Struthio camelus: one gene and its partner. The protein of the gene in region 2 purifies or fractionates together with the protein of the main gene of each other region. This does not show direct contact. Links are inferred from orthologs where the notes say so. Each region holds a gene or a part of one and is shown on either strand. Other genes may lie near its edges. The genes, in order: FKBP5 and SGK2.

Region 1 (7,304 bases), on a different chromosome or scaffold from region 2:
GTACCAATTCCACCAAAATCTGCTTTTTTCCCCACACCATCATCACATTTTCCCCAGCCCGAGCGCCGCTTGCTTAACCTGTCCAGAACACCCATCCCGTGGCCTTCCTCTCATACTACTCTGCTGTAGGTGTCATTCTCCTAAAAATCCCTACTTCTTGATTATCCCTGCGCAAGCAGCTGCCTCCTGATGCCCTGCACCTTTCCTCTCCAGGTAGGAGAGGGTAGGAGAACAACACACGCCTTCACAGTCATCCTTTTTCGCCCGCCTCTCCCTGGTCCCCCTACCGCCGAAGGGCCCCGGGGTGCACGTTCCCATCTGCTTTGGGGCACGCGTCCTCCTCACGGCAGCAACAGTGCCTCAAGGCACAAGATATTAGGTATTTTACAGCACTGCAAAGAGGGAAGAGCCAAAAATGGGAGTTGCCCCTTTTGTAAATGGGAATTTACAAATTTGCCCAGCCAAGCAAAATTTGTGGTTCGATTTACTGTCACGAGAACCCCAGAGAATGGGATCTTGATCCTCATTTTACAGATAATTATGATATGGGGTGTTTAAGCTCTTTCCCCAAAATAACCGGATTTGGGAACAGAAAGGAGGGCAGATTGCTCCCCAGTTTCCTCCATACCGGCAACACTTTTCCTCTCATTGCAGAAAGGCTCCACTCTTTTGCAAGCACGCTGCGTAGTACAGGATTACCTGCGACTACTCTAAACACGCAGTTTTATTGTAACATTTCGTCCTTCTTCTGCTTTCAGCCTCCAACTTCTCAGATGTTGCTGTCCTCGTTCATCATGTCCTATATAACGCTGCAATGCTAGTCCTCAGCCCTGCAAAGTATCTTTGCTCTGTAAAACTCTTCTGCAGCGCAGAAATGTTATTTTCACTCAACCCCATTACTCCTAGTTAACCCTTTACAAACTGCAGCAAGCGTTTCTTCTGCCTCGCTGGCGTTTACATCCTCTCAAGTTGTGTTGTACCAACGGGATAAAACTAAGTTGCAAATATAAAATCTATGCACTTCAGGTCACAAAACGACAACGTTCAGCAATTTCAGGCAAAACTGAAAGCAAATCCTTGGTTAATATTCTGATTAGAAATACCTTAATTAGGTCAAAAGCTATTCCACCTCTGAAAATTGCCAATAAAAGCTGGATAAAAGTTCTAGGAGATTTAATTAACTTTCTTCCCCATAAGTACATTCACGGGGCAGGATGAGGAAGAAGCAGCAATGTGGCTCCAATACATTTCGCAGGAAAGAACAATTTGTGCTTTCAACTTTTTACTTGTAATCCCAGTTTCTAGCACAGATTTGGTCCCCAGTGACGTCCTGAATCCAGCTTAACGACTCATTACGGAAAGCCATCGTTTAAACAAACATTACCTTTAAAATACTAAAGTATCAAATCCTGATTCGAGGCGGGGGTGGGGGGGGTTAGACGTATATTTAGATTCAATACACTTGTCTGATGGAAGGAAATTCCACAAAATAGCAGCTCACCAGCCTCATCTGCAGTATTAACTGACCGTGGCAAAGCCCTGTTTGTTTAACATGCACAGTTTCACAGCGAAGACAGAAACTTGACTGCAGCACCAGAGCCTCAACTGGAACTCTCCAAGCAGAGCCGCAATGCACGACTGATGAATTTATCCTTCAAAAGCTCTTCTAGCTCATCACGTAAAATATTCTTTTTTGACAACAATACGCTTATCTGAATATGCGTTTGCACACTAGAAAATAGTAGCTTCAAAAGAGCTATTCTGTCTACTAAGAGGAGGGGAAAAGAGTAGGAGTATAGGGGGGAAAAAAAAGAAAAATAAGTACATTAACCTTGGGCCATCTGCTATAATTACTCCAAGTGAAACTATATATTTATGTTCACATTCTATACAATATTTTTGGCAGATGTTATTAGAGAAAACATTAGTAACGAGGCAGAGGAACCCCATTTTATGACAACTCTGTGCCTTTATAACCGGGGGAAAAAAATAACCTCCCTTGGGTAGTTCCCCATTGTCACAAACTAAAGGACATGGACTCCTATTTGATGCAGAGGTTTTGGTACGTTTTAGAGAACTAGCCGGTGGCAAAAGACACCGGGCTGCCTGCAGCGAGAGTAGATGACTCGCGGTCACTACTCGCATAAAGACATCACACGATTCTGGAAACAAGTGAAATTTCTCGCAGAGAGCAAAGAAGAAAGTTAAACTTTTTGGCTAAGCGCTTGCAGTAAAGTACGGCAAGGACATCAGCTTCTGCGGCCTTGGGGGGCTCTGGTATCACAAACACAGCACACTAAAGCCAGGAAACACCGACGCGAGCACCCCGGCGCTGCCCCTTCGGGCAGGGCGAACTAAAGCAGGGCGCGCGCGGCTTGGGGGCCGGCACCCCAAGGGCCCCCCAACGCCAAGTGGGGGACGCGCCTGGGCTCGGGTGCCCCAAACCGCGGCTGCGGCTCGGGGCCGACCCTGCCCCTCGCCTTGGCCGAGGCCCCACGGTCCCCCGTCCCGTCCCGTCGCCCTCCTCCACTTCTGTACCGTCCCGGCACCGGGAGGGGGCTGTGGGGCCGAGGCCCCCACCCTGTCCCCCCACCACCACCACCACTGCAACAGCCGGAGGCACCAACCCCCTCCTCAGGGAAGGGATCAGTCAGACCCCCCCCAGCCCCACGGAGAGCCCCCCTGTGCAGATCTTGGCACCCTCCCTAACCCCCTGCAGACCCCCCCCAACCTCCTATGTACCCCCCTTACCCCCACTGCCCCATAGAGCCCCATTCAGGACCTCCCAGGCCCACAGAGCTGCAGGCACATGCAGACCCCCCCCCAGACCCACACAGACCCAGAGAGGGCCCCCCTAGACCCATACAAGCTCCCTCTGCTAGCCCCACACAGACCCATACGAGCCCCCCCTCCTAGCCCCACACAGACCCATAGAGGGCCCCCCTCCTAGCCCCACACAGACCCATAGAGGGCCCCCCTCCAGCCCCACACAGACCCATAGAGGATCCCCCCAGACCCATACGAGCCCCCCCTCCTAGCCCTACACAGACCCATACAGTGCCCCCCAGCTCCATCCAGCCCACCAACCAGCCCCATATAGGGCCCCCCACAAGCCCTATATAGGGCCCTCCAGCTTCACACAGACCTGTACAGGGCACCCCCGGCCCCCAAAGCCCCCCCCCCGGCCCCATATGCCCCCCCTGCCCCACACAGGGCACCGCCAGCCCCCTGTAGGGCCCACACAGCCCCCGCCCCCCCCCGGCCCGGCCCTACCTGCCCCGCCGGTGCCGCTCACGCTCCGTTGCGTCGCCCGGCTCCGAGTGGCACCGCGCGCGCCCGCGCCGGCCCGAGTCTCCCCGGCCGCTGCGCCCCGCCCCTTCTCCCGCCTTCCATTGGCCGCCCCGCCTGCCCGTCTCGGCCGATGTTGCCCGCAGCGCCTTCTCATTGGCTCGGTGGCGGCGCTATGCAAATGAGGAGGTTTTCCCCACCCCCCCCCTCCACGCCTCGGTCCTCCCCCTCCCGCCCCGCCCCGCCCCGCGCACTTGCTGGGGCAGCGGCGGCAAAGCCAGAGCGACCCCAGCGCCGGGCGGGCAATGCCCGGGGGGGGGGGGTCCGTGCAATGCCCCGGGGGATTCAGCCCCTTGCAATGCCCCGGGAGGGGGGTCTGTGCAATGCCCAGGAGGATCCAGCTCCATGCAATGCCCCTGGGGGGGGGTCCAGTCCCTTGCAATGCCCCGGGGGGGGTCCGTCCAATGCTCCAGGGGATCCAGCTCCGTGCAATGCGCCGGGGGGGGAGGGGGTCCATGCAATGCCCCAGGGGATCCAGCCCCTTGCAATGCCCCGGGGGATCCAGCTCCATGCAATGCCCCCGGGGGGGGGGGGTCCAGTCCCTTGCAATGCCCCAGGGGGGGTCCGTCCAATGCTCCAGGGGATCCAGCTCCGTGCAATGCCCAGGGGGGGCGAGGGCTTTGTGCAATGTCCCCCAGGGGCACCGGGGTGCCAATCAGTACTCTAGGGTTACCCCGACCCCATGCAGCACCCCAGGGTGGGGGTCAGCTCTGTGCAGCGCTCCAGGGCAATTCCAGCCCCGTGCAATGGCCCCCGGGAGATCTTGGCCCCACCCAGTGTCCCCAGGACCAACCAACCCCATGCAATCCTTCAGGGGTACCCCGGCCCCACACTGCACCCCGGGGACACCGTGGCCCCTTGCAGTGTCCCCGGGGCTGCTGCGGGCCCTTGAAGCGCCCCCCGGGGTCCCAGGCCCCGTGCAACGGCCCGAGGATGAAGCAGCCCTGTGCAATGTCCCGGGGGACCCCAGCGCCGTGCAGCGCTCCGGGGGTTATTATGGGTCACAGCCCACCAGGAAAATAAACTTGCGCTAAAGTCTGAAAGCTAGTGATGGAAAGGCACTCTGTTGGGGGACACGCCGACTGTTGGAACAGGCAAAAAAACGTTACCGCTCGGCTTAAAGCAGGTAAGATTTTTGTTAGGAGCGGCGTCGACATGTGAGATTAGGCAAAATAAAAATGCATTTTAAACAAGTATCCTACCGCTGCTTGCGGACCTCAGCTCATCGCCGCGGCCGAGCTGGGAGGCCGCCGGGCTGGCCCACCGCGCCGAGCGAAAACGCCACGCTGGGCGTTTTCCTAGACGGGCGTTCGAGCTCGTGTGCCCCGTTCCCGTCCTGCTCCCCGTTTCCCACGCGTTCCTCCAATACACCCGCCCGGGGACGGGCTTAATGGACGGCTCGTTTTATCGATGCTTTCTTGCGCGCCTGTTTTTTGATGCTGAATTCGATTTTTGGTTTCCCCCCCCCCCAGCTGTCATTTCGACACCGACGGCACTCACTGGAAATAGGGAGTTCAAATTAAAGCCCGCTTTAAAAAAAAAAAATAAAAAAGTTGAAGATTTATCTTCCTGACAGCGTCATGCGTTACAACAAAGCCGAAACGCCGGGGGGGGTTGGGGGGGGGGAATCTCGCCCTTTCAGGAACACGAGGCAGCGACCCAGCCGCACGATTTGGAGAGCTGCTTTGAAATATTTCCGGCCCGGCCTCGGAGGGCTTTACATTTCCACTTGCCAAATAAACGTTGTGGCTTTCCAAACGCGCCCTCCCCAAACTGGCAGCTTCTTTTGGTGCCGGGGGGGGGGGGGTAACGGCAAAGCCTGGGAAAAGCGCACCCAGGCCGACGGCGGCCGTCGGGGGGGGGGTCCACGCTGGTTGCCGCTGCACCACAAAAACGGTCGATTTGTTTGTTTAAGGGCGGGGGGAAGCAAAATACTTGGCAAGTGTTATTTTTGTGTGTTTTTAAGAGACCTTTCGAGTCCTCGTGCTACTGCCGCCCGCCTCGCAGCCGGGGCAGAGGCGCTGCTCCAAACTCAGTCCCCCACCCCCCTTCCTAATTTCACAGCCGCATTAAAAAGGAAATTCAATTATAAAAAAATACACACATATACACACACACACATTAAAGCGGCGAGCCTGACGCAAACTTCCAAAAGGCAGGAAATTCACGGTGAAAGCAGCCGCTCTGTCCTCGCTTCACCCTATTGTGCCTGGGTATCGCCGCCCAGGCGTTATGTAAGATCGCGCTGTCCTCAGCCCGCAGCTCCGGCGCTTGGATTTCGCTTGAATTTCGCTTGAATTTCGAGCAAAACAGGAGCCTCGCGGCGCTCGTTTGTCTTGGGCGGCGCGGAGCGGGGCCGGGGCCGGGGCCGGGGCCGGACGGGAGCCGAACCGGCTCGGAGCGGGCTGCAGCCGCTAGCGCTCCCTGGGCAAACGTGCCCGCGAGGGAGAAACGGGATGGGGCGGGCGGGGAGGGGGGCTGTGCTTTGCATCGCTGCAGGTGTGCAGGAGCATTTTATCCCAGGAGCATTTTATCCCCGGAGCATTTTATCCCAGGGGTATTTTATCCCAGGAGCATTTTATCCCTGGAGCATTTTATCCCCGGAGCATTTTATCCCAGGGGTATTTTATCCCTGGAGCCTTTCATTCATGCGGCGTTTGGATGCCGCGGCAATAAGCGCTCGGGGGATGCTAGCCCGAGCCCGGGGTGCTCCAGGAGCCGCAGGGGAAAAAAATGTTCTGCAAAACAATCAGGGCTGCGCACCGGCACGTCCAGGGTGAAACCGGGGCCGAGAAAGTTTGCAAAATGCTTTATCCTCCCCCCCCGGCTCCCTGCCAGCTCGGGGGTCCCGAATGTGCCCCGCAGGCGGCCGCCGGCCCCCGGGGCCTGTAACACAAGCTCGGAGGAAATCTGCTCCTCCGGAGCCAGAAAAACCATAAATAATCTCCCAAGGCTTTGCTGTCGCTGCCAGGGGGACGGGCTGTTCCCCCCGGCCATCCAGCTGGCCGCACATGTCCTGCCCGGCGCCCTGACCCCTCCGTCCTGCCCGAAAAGCGCGGGGGCCCCGCGCTGAAACCCCGCAAAAACCCGCAAAAAAAAAAAAAACCCGCAAAACCCCGCAAAACGCCGGCCGAGCCCGGCGGGATCCTCCCCGACGGCGATGGGCGCCCGCCCCCCCGGCGATGGGCGCCCCCCCCCGGCTGCACCTCGAGAGCGGAGGGCGCAAATACAGAATCGGGGATATTTTTAATTCGTCCTTTTTCTAAAAATAACCCGAGTTAATCTGCCTTGAACACTCGAGAGAGAGAGGAGGGAAAAGAAGTCCCTCCCGTTTGGCTTCAAATCTGAAAGCCGCATCACAGTGAATCTCTCGAGCACGTGGGAGATCAAAGGAAATCGGTTGTTTGGGGTTTTTTTTTTCTTTTTTCTTTTCCTTTTGTTTGCTTGGCGGCCGGCCCGGCGCTCCGGGCTAGCGGGGTCGCGGGGGCCGGGCGGCCCCGGCCCGTCGGGGCTTCGGCGGCGGCACGAGGGGTCGCCAAAGCCTTTCACATCCCCCCCCCCGGGTTTCGCCGTCGCGACCCCGATGCCAGGCTCTTCCCAAAGCCTCGCCAAAATCTGGCAGCCGGAGGGCACCCGGCCTCACCCCCCCCCCAACCCCCGGCACCCTTAAGCGGAGGCTTTGCCGGACCCGCAGCATCGCCCAGGCCCGAAATCGCCCGACGGCGCCCGGCCTCCGCTTCCTTCCAGGCAGCTGCCGCCGGGGACGCTTCCACCGGCTGGAAGGACGCAAACATTTTCCTGGATTATCTCGCCGCTGAGAAAAAAATTAAAAAAAAAAAAAAAACCAAAAGACAGAAAGAAAGGAGAAGAACGGGAGATGAAGGGCAGGCCGGGCAGGGCTCTGCCCCACGGCGGGCGCCGGGAGCGGCCAGCAGCTCGCCCCCTCGGAGATAAAA
Region 2 (8,439 bases):
TCACAGAGTACATCTTGGCACAGCTTAAACTCATTTCCGAAACAAAATTGAATTATTTGGGTAAAGCCGGAGGCCAGCTTATGTCGGCGTTAGGGTTTGCCAGCATTGCTTTGCCCTTTGTGTGGGGCGGATGTTTCCCTGCCTTCCAGGGAGCATATCTGCGCCAGCTCTCGCTGGAGGTCGGTCCAGAGGTGATTAGCCGCTCTTAGATGGTTTAACCCCTGCTGTGCACATGGCGCCTGCCACGGCTGGGCTTCATCAGACCACGGTGGCAAAGTCAGGCAAACTGTCTGGGAGCAAGCCGCGGCTACAGAAAGCCGATTTTTCGGTTGCGCTGGGGTAGCGCAGAGCCTCTGGACGTTGCCAGAGCTTGGAAACACTTTCCCTTGCACCTCCGGGAGGGGAAAGCTGCCTTTACATTCCCAAACGCTAGAAAGAAACGAACGGTGGGGCATGCGGATCCTCCGCGCTGCTGAGCTTCGGCCCTCCTGGCCGGACCGGCTGCTGCCGCTCTCCCCTATGGAGGCTGCATTTCTGCCTGCTCCAGGGCAAGACGTTTCTGATGGACAACGGCCCCAGCCCACACACAGAGAAGCACCTCCTCTCCCTCTCTCTCTCATTGCTACTCCGTTTTATAACCTTTTGTATGCTTTTCAGCTATTTTAAAATGCTGTCCTGTCTTAATCTCTTTATATACCAATATCCATAACCATAATCATAAATGTATCACTGCAGAGGAACTACACAGTCCTGAGCACTCGGAATTGCAGGGAAAGGTCCAGATAAGGCTAAAACAAACATTTCCCTAGAGAGCACAGTTTTCTTCAACTTGCAGTGAAAGCTGACCTCAAATGCTTAAGGCACTACTGGGAGATGTTTGGCTACTCAGTTATCTGTGTTTTGTAAGGAATAGAACAGCACAGCACAGCACAGCTCTTTAAAAGGTCTCAGCCTATTTCCTCAACTTTAGAGGATTCAAGAAAGACTAAACAGATTTTTGGTGACCAATTGGGGTTTTTAATTTTTTTTTTTTCCTTTCTTCTCTCCCCTTCTCTTTCAGCTTCAACAAGCAGGGCTCTGCCCAAGTTATCCCCCCTTGATTTTGCCAAGGAGTCTCACACAGGTGCTGGGAGGTTTTCCATGTTTTAGTGAAAGGAGCCAGGAGGAGAACGCTCTGGCTCAGGTTTCTGTTCCACAGGGCCGTCGTGACCAACACTTGCTACTTTCTGTGCCTCAGTTGCTACAACTATGAACGTGGTAGAACATCACTAATCCCTTTTGTAAAGCCTTTAACACCTTCAGAGGAAAATACCAGCTGATCTTATTACTACCATTAAATTAGTTAGCTAGGACTTGCTCCCAAGTGCTTTTTTTTTTTTTTTTTTTTGAAGTGTTGGCACAATCTCAAAGAATAAATAACAGAGTTGGAAGCAGCCAGACTCTAAACATCTCCTCCTCCGCCAGCTGCCCAGGCCAGTCCGCGGGTGATGTTGCAACTCTCCCGTTTGCCATTTTCTCCTCCCCAGCAGCATTTTGGAATAGCAACAACAGCATTTGTTGCTGTGTTACAGCCTAAGTTTTGGGAGCTTTCTTAACAAAACATGGGGCATTTTGAGATAAATTCACCTGTAAGTAAATCTGACACATGGTGCACATGCAGGGCTCCTGCCCACAGCTCAAACCTTCAGGTGTGACCAGCATGACAGGGACGAGGGCAGAGAGGCAGTTTCCTGGCAGCATCCTGGGTGGACTGAGCAGGGCATTACAGCTAGGAGATAGCTCCTACAGCTACACTTTGCAAAAAAACAGGCCTCCGCTCTGCTGGCACGGCACTGGGTTTGTCAGGAAAGCTTGTGGATGGAGCATCCCCAGGAACGCCGACCCGACCACCTGCCCCCAAGACTCTGAGCTAAGCCCCCATCCTGCCCTCTGCCCTGCTCCTTCCCTTCCCCACAGGAATGGGGATCTGCCATGGAAACCTGGGGAAGCAACTGGTGCTGGCATGGCAAGAGATTATCTCCAACAGAGTTAAACAGTGAAATACCGGATCCCGCAGCAGCCCAGTCCAAACTGGGTCAAGCGCTGGTCAAGGAACTATCATGGGCTGTGAGCCTCTGTGCAAAAGCAGTAACTGTTGGGTTAAAATCCATCCAGTCACCCGATACCCTCTGAATAAAACAACAGAAAACATAGGTTTGTGCATGTAGCCAGTCCTCAGCTCTGCTGAACCTTTATTCCCTCCACTCTGGTGTCAGACTCTCATGTCTCATGGAAACAGCCTGCTCTGCTAGAAGGGGGAGTTAGGGGTGACCCAAACAAGGGGTGCTAGACACAGCAACCTTGATCTTCACGAGGTGCAGCCCAGCCACAGAGAGGCAGCCTGGGAGACCACAGCCAAAACTGCCAAAAGTTTCTGGTACAAACTAGTCCTTCTTGTGCTGGCTACAAACTCCTAATGCAGCCCAAGCCTCCTCTGCCCGCACAGGCTGCTTGGGGCAAGATATGTCACTAACTACCTCTACGGATCTGCCAGGTCAGGAAATCAGATAAGATCAGAAACACTTGTGGCTGCTCTTCAGGTCCCAGAAATACAAGTTGAAGCAGGACTAAGGACATGAGCAGGGGACAAAAGCTGCTTTGCCCCCTGCTCAGGGGTTTCCTGGTAATTGCTGCCCTGGGGTACCCTATTTCAAAGCGAGGAACCTCTCCACCCTCCACAGCATTTCCAGGGGGTCTAAGGAGGCTGTTACTCTCCTCTCTCTGAAGTTGCAGGGATTCATGTGATCTTCCATAACTGGGAAACAAACCCAACTCTGGAAGTCAAGACACCTCCCCCCATGTCCAGCTGCTGTCCCTGAGCTAGACCCACTGTGGCCGTGGACCAGGTCTCCCATGAGCCAGTTCCTCTCTGTAGCTAGTCCCTAGTAAGGAATGAGACCTTCACAAAAAACTATGCTTCTCCTAAACTAGTTCAAGTCCTTAGGAGCAGAGAAAGTCACCATCATCAATAAAAAAAAGTAAATCAGCTTTACCGGCCGAGGAGCAGGACTTCTGAGTTCCCAGGAGCCAGAGAAGGTGGGCAGCTGCCCAGCGCCAGCTGCAGAAGGCAGCATTTACTTCTCTCCCTCCTGTTGTTTTTATTTTGGTGATTTAGTCTGAAGGTCAAAGGAAAGTCTGAAGGAGTGGCTTATGGCAGGAAGTAAATGATTACCCTGTCATCACTTAGAGGGGCCTGAGGCACAGGAACTGGGGTGGGAGAGAAAAAAATACCTCCTTGCAGGGACTTGGAGGGCAGCTCACCTCAAAGGGAAGTGCAAAGGGTTAGAACAAAGTGCTCCATTTTCTGGAAGCTATGCTGGGTCACATGCCAGGTCCTAGTAGAGGTAATGAGGCATGCGTCACCTCCAAAACACCAGCAGCGCCAGGCAGCAGGGATCCGGTAGAAGTCCTGGATCTGGACATGATCCATCATTGATCCACCTGAGCTTGCTGGTGAAGGAATAGCTGTGCAAGGTTGTCCATCCACCATGGATCTTTGTCACCTTGCAGCACAGCACGTGTGAGCCTTCACTAGCCCTTGCATGGGGGCTTAGCTGGACAGGAGATCCAGGGACGTTTCCAAGCTTGAGCTTTGCGGGTACAACAGACCTATAGCCTCATTTTTGTCTCCTGCATAATATTTCTCTGGCTCCATGTTCTCCATCCTGCATGACACACTTGCTCCTTGTTCCTCTCCATTCCCCTCTGGGCCTGCCGGGTCCCCTCTGTAAGCTCTCTTCTTGCATTCCCAGGTCCCCTCCAATCTCCCCTGTGAACACCCCGCTCCACTCCATGCCCCCTACTTGCACTCCCTGTGCTGAGAAATACCCCTCCGTGGAGCTGTGCTGGCTTCACAGACCCTGAAGGAAGTCTGCCAGCCCACCTCCCTCCTTGATGGCAGGGACAGGAACTTCACAGCAAGAGCAGGACATGCCGCAGGATCCTCTCCCAGGGCCTAAGGCAGCAACAGGCACCCTGGAGAGGCTGGGGTACGTCACCAAACCTGCCCAGCACCGCAAAGGACCGGCGGTGCACTGTGTGGACTCCTATGCAGCTGCCTGGTTCAGCATGCTGATGGACTTGCTGCTTCCCCCCCCCCCCTTTTTTTTTTTCTTAGCAGAGGCTAAAGGACAGCATTTCTAATCACAGCTGCTATGGACCGATTACTTCAAGCATAAGCACTGTGGTTCACCCTAAATGTGTTTTCCCTCTGCCCTACCTTATACCACCAGCTAATACCACCCTAAGGAAACCTGTAGCTCCTTGCCTGAAATACAAACTTCGTATGCATAGGGCATTTTCTGATTATGCGGGAAGGTTTCTTTTGACTTAAAAGATCTTTTGCATCCGCCCCTCTCATGGAGCAGGACCATGACATTTGGGTCACACAGCCTTGAAAAAAAAAAAAAAAAAAGGAATTGCATCACAGTTCCTTGCATGTTTATCAACCCATTTACCTCTCCATCCCCACACTGGCACATATACCTCCCAGCTGGGCCTGGGGAGTCCAGCTCAAAGAGGAGAAAGAAAAAGGGTTGCTGTAAAAAGAATAGGGTCACTCTGTATAAGGGGAGGCCGTTAGAAAAGGAGAAGCGTGAGCTGAGGCAGGATTTGAATACACAAAAGGGCATAGAGATGTGATTATAAAAATTAGCAGATGGACAACATCAGTTAGAAGAAAACATACAGCTGCCATCAAAATAAATATTTTTGGGAGCAGTCTTAGATATACAGTTTGAGGAATTCGAGGTTCTTTAGGCCAAGACAGTCAATTGCTGTTCTTGCCAAGGTCACTGACTCCACGTACCGGGGTAAAATGCAGAGCCATAATTATGCCTTTTTGAGCTCTGGCACCATAACCACCATGCAGAGAGGGAGTGGGCTAAGCCTTCCCCTCACTGTAGCTCCCTTCGATGTTTCTGTTCGGTGGTACAGCAGTACAAGTGCATGATGATAATGAATATCTTATATTACACTGGTGTCTAGGGGGACTAACCCAAATAGAGGTCCCTATTGTATTTGAAGAACTGTAAAGACAGAGAGATAAAGCAATCTGTTTCCTTCCAGTGCAGAGAAAGCCTTTGTTTTATTCATTTCCAGAGTGAGAAGGTTCAGTACAACACATGACCAAAAGCTACAGACAAAAAGCCATTTGGAATAGAAATCGTGCTTTCCCATCATGCTAGCTTTTCAGAAAGTTTCTTTGTCTGATTCTTTGCCATTATTCAGGATTTGTTTTGATCACCTCACTGCATTCCCTGCTTGAAGGCTGCACATCTGTGGCAAAATTGCGTTCACACAACTTGCACTAGCATCAGCACGGCACCAGGATGTCTGCTCCAGCAGGCTGGGCCTGGCCTGTGCGCATTTAAAGCCCGAGTCACAAGGGCTGCACAAACAACCGCACTCATTTTAGCCTCGGACAAGTTTAGAGGACAAAGCCTCGGCTTATTGCTTCAGCTCGCTGAGCGTGTTGGTTTCGCAAGCAGGGCGCTGCACATGCGTCAGCCGCGAGCGTGCAGCAGCAGCCCGACAGAAACGCGCAGGAGGGCGCTTGAGCAGAGCTGACAGCACGACAAAGCCTGTTTGGTTTTTCAGAGTGATCTCTGACTTCACCACAGCTGGAAACTACAGCGGGCCAGACTGAGATGCCCTGTCATCCTCTGCATCCAGCACAGCCTATTCCAAGGCATCACAGCGGAGGCCTAACTGCCTTGCAAAGGGGATTCCCACCTCCGCAGATCCTCCTTCCTGCCAGCATCCCAGGTCAAGGGAGGACAGGAGCCATGCAAGCAGAGCAGTGCCAAGGGTGCCGGGCCGGGAGCACTTTGCTTGGTGCACGTCAGCTCAAAAAGGAGTAGGCAGTGTCCTCTCTGCTCCCAGGAGGTATGTGCACGCACAGGTCTGCACAGCGGCGTGTTTCAGAAGTAGGACCTACGAGTGGGAACTGTCTCTCTAGCCCAGGTAGCTCTGTTCCCGTGGGAGCTGGTGCATGAGGCAGGCTGCTCGTAGGCAGGACCTGGGTGCACACACCTCATATCGAGCAATGGTCTCTGCTCATACTTGCCTGGTTTTTCCCATGGCACAGGTCAAGGGAGGGAACAAGGAGGCCTCAGCTGTTCTGGCTTTCCCCCACCATCCTGGTAAAGGCACAGACCCTACTACAGCCCCAAATACCCTCAGAGCAGGAGCCATTTTTGTTCACAAGAAAAAAAAAAAGGTTTAAATTAGACTTGAAACCTCTGCAAAGCTAAAGTGCCATAAGACATTTTCCATCATCTTGTGCCCTAAACCAGAAAGCCTTTAGCCCCTGAAAAAACACAAAAACATCAGAAAAGTTAGTCTGTGAGCATCCTCCATTCACATGGATGCAGCCACCTGCAAGGACAGGTGAGCAAGCTGTGCTACCACTGCAGCAGATGCAGATGTCTTGGGCACATCCATTTGCCTCCTGCAACCTGAAGGGGGAACACAGGGAGGAGGACCCTAAAACCACAGCATACAGATGCACAAAGAAGCAGGTAAACTTCCCAGGGGTCCTCAGCTCCTCACTTACTCCCAGGGCCCAAAGGGTTATCTCAGCCTGACAAGGGGCAGGGAGAGGGGGGAACGACAGGGAGGATCTCCTCCCCTGCTGGTCCCTTCACAACACCCTAGGGAGAAAACCGAGCTGAAGCAGGTCACAGCAAAGAAGAGCAACAGAAACCAAGGAAGGAGGTGTCTCAAAGGAAAGGTGACACCAGAGCCCGCACCTACCCCCTGCCCCGTTACCGCAGGCTCCGGCGCGGAGGGAGCCCGGTGATGCCTCGCCGGCCGGGGCCGGGCGAGGGCGCCGCGCTGCCGCTGCTGCCGCCGCCGCCGCCGGGGACTCCGGGAGCGGAGCAGTGCAAAGGGAAGGACGGGCAGCCGGGCGGGGGGGGCCGCTTTATACTGTCTCCCGGCTTCGTTTTACACCAAGGTGGTTAGTTAATCGCGGCTCCCCTGCTCCTCGTCGCCGGGGCAGGATTAGGAGATGAGTTACAGGTGCGTTTCCCCACGGAAGGGGAACAGAAACGCGGCTCCTGGCACGGAGCCGCCCCGTGAGGGGTGGAGGCAGAGGGTGGCTTGTCCGAGGGGCAGAGACCCACCGCGGAGCCTCACGCGTACAAGGTGGTGGTGGTGGGGGGGGGTTGTCCTCAGCCCACCCGCTTCTGAGGCCTGGCCACGCGTGGGATGCTTTTCCCGCACGCAGAATTAACCTGCCTCAAGCCAAAAGCTTCCCTCTGACTTCCTGCCGGAGACGTGCGAGGGATGCGGGCTCATTTGATGCGAGGAAGGGAAATCGCCCCCCCACCTCCTTCCTGCAGCCCCTGCGCCCCCCCCCCCCCCCCGCCGGAGCCGATTCCGGCCAGCCGCCGCCCCCCGAGCCGCCCGCCAGCGGGGCCGCCGCCGCGCACCGGGCCCCTCCCGCCCCAACCCCCGCCCTGAGGCTGCCCCTAACGGGGGCTCGCACACAATTTGGGGGGAAATCGAAAGAGAAATCGCTTCTGCTAACGCACCGCTACGCCTGGGGTGCGGGGCTACGGGAAGGGCACCGGCGGGTCCCGGCGCTTGCAGACGCTCCTCGGCACCCCAGCAACGAGCGGACAGAGGATTAGTCGTTGCGTTGTGGCTTTTGAGGCCGCCAGGGTTTTCCTGCGGTGGATCAAGCCGCTGGGGCACGGATGCGCCCCGTCGCATCCCGCCGCCGCCCCGGCGCCGAGCCGCGGCCGGCCGCAGCGTTTGGGGCGAGGCAGGGCTCAGCCGAGAGCTTCCTTCAGTCGAGGGGTGCTCGGAGCTCGTCGTTTCGTTTCGTTTTCTCCCCCGCGGCGTGTGTTTGTTTGTGGGATGTTTTCCCCTTCACAAGAAGGAAAGGCTCGGGAGGCGTTTGCAAACGGCGTCTCCGAGCGCCGTGCAGCCGGGCCGGGGCAGCGGCCGCCTCCCTCGCCGGGCGGAGGACGAGCCGTTCACGAAATGCAGATTTCCGACCTGTTGCAAGCGATTTAATTCGACAGTTAATGAGACACAAGCGTCGGGCTGCGGTGCTGTCCTTGTTAGCGGGCGTTATCACTGCCCGGACCACGCTCTGAAACGGGCGATCTGCCCAGGGCCAACAAACGTGGCGAAAAGAAACCTCCGTCTGTCCTTCCGTTGCTTAAAAGCAAGCGAAGCTCTTCCACGAAGGGCTGAAAGCGAAGCGGGGATGCTGCGCTCTGCCCCCCAGGGGTGTCCCGCGGGGACCGTGGGAAGCTGCCGAGGGAGGGAGCGACCCTGCCGTGCCGCCTGCCCGGGGGGCCGCGGGCAGCTCGCCCTTCTCCCCTGCTCCCTCTCCAGCACCGCAAGCACGGGGGCCACTTGTCCTCCCTCCGCTCCTGGCCCTGC

Evidence for each region.
Region 1: the proteins of SGK2 (region 2) and FKBP5 purify together in Homo sapiens (affinity purification with mass spectrometry; 3 studies listed by BioGRID and IntAct, with this or other methods). This does not show direct contact. The link is inferred for Struthio camelus from reciprocal best matches to the Homo sapiens genes SGK2 and FKBP5.

Annotation. Positions count from the first base shown.
Region 1 is NC_090965.1:5,058,503-5,065,806, reverse strand, and holds the start of FKBP5 (peptidyl-prolyl cis-trans isomerase FKBP5), read right to left. Parts: upstream 3,384-7,304; 5' UTR 3,274-3,383; intron 1-3,273. UniProt on the Homo sapiens protein: Immunophilin protein with PPIase and co-chaperone activities. Component of unligated steroid receptors heterocomplexes through interaction with heat-shock protein 90 (HSP90).
Region 2 is NC_090959.1:5,804,789-5,813,227, forward strand, and holds the start of SGK2 (serine/threonine-protein kinase Sgk2), read right to left. Parts: upstream 3,143-8,439; 5' UTR 3,033-3,142; intron 1-3,032. UniProt on the Homo sapiens protein: Serine/threonine-protein kinase which is involved in the regulation of a wide variety of ion channels, membrane transporters, cell growth, survival and proliferation.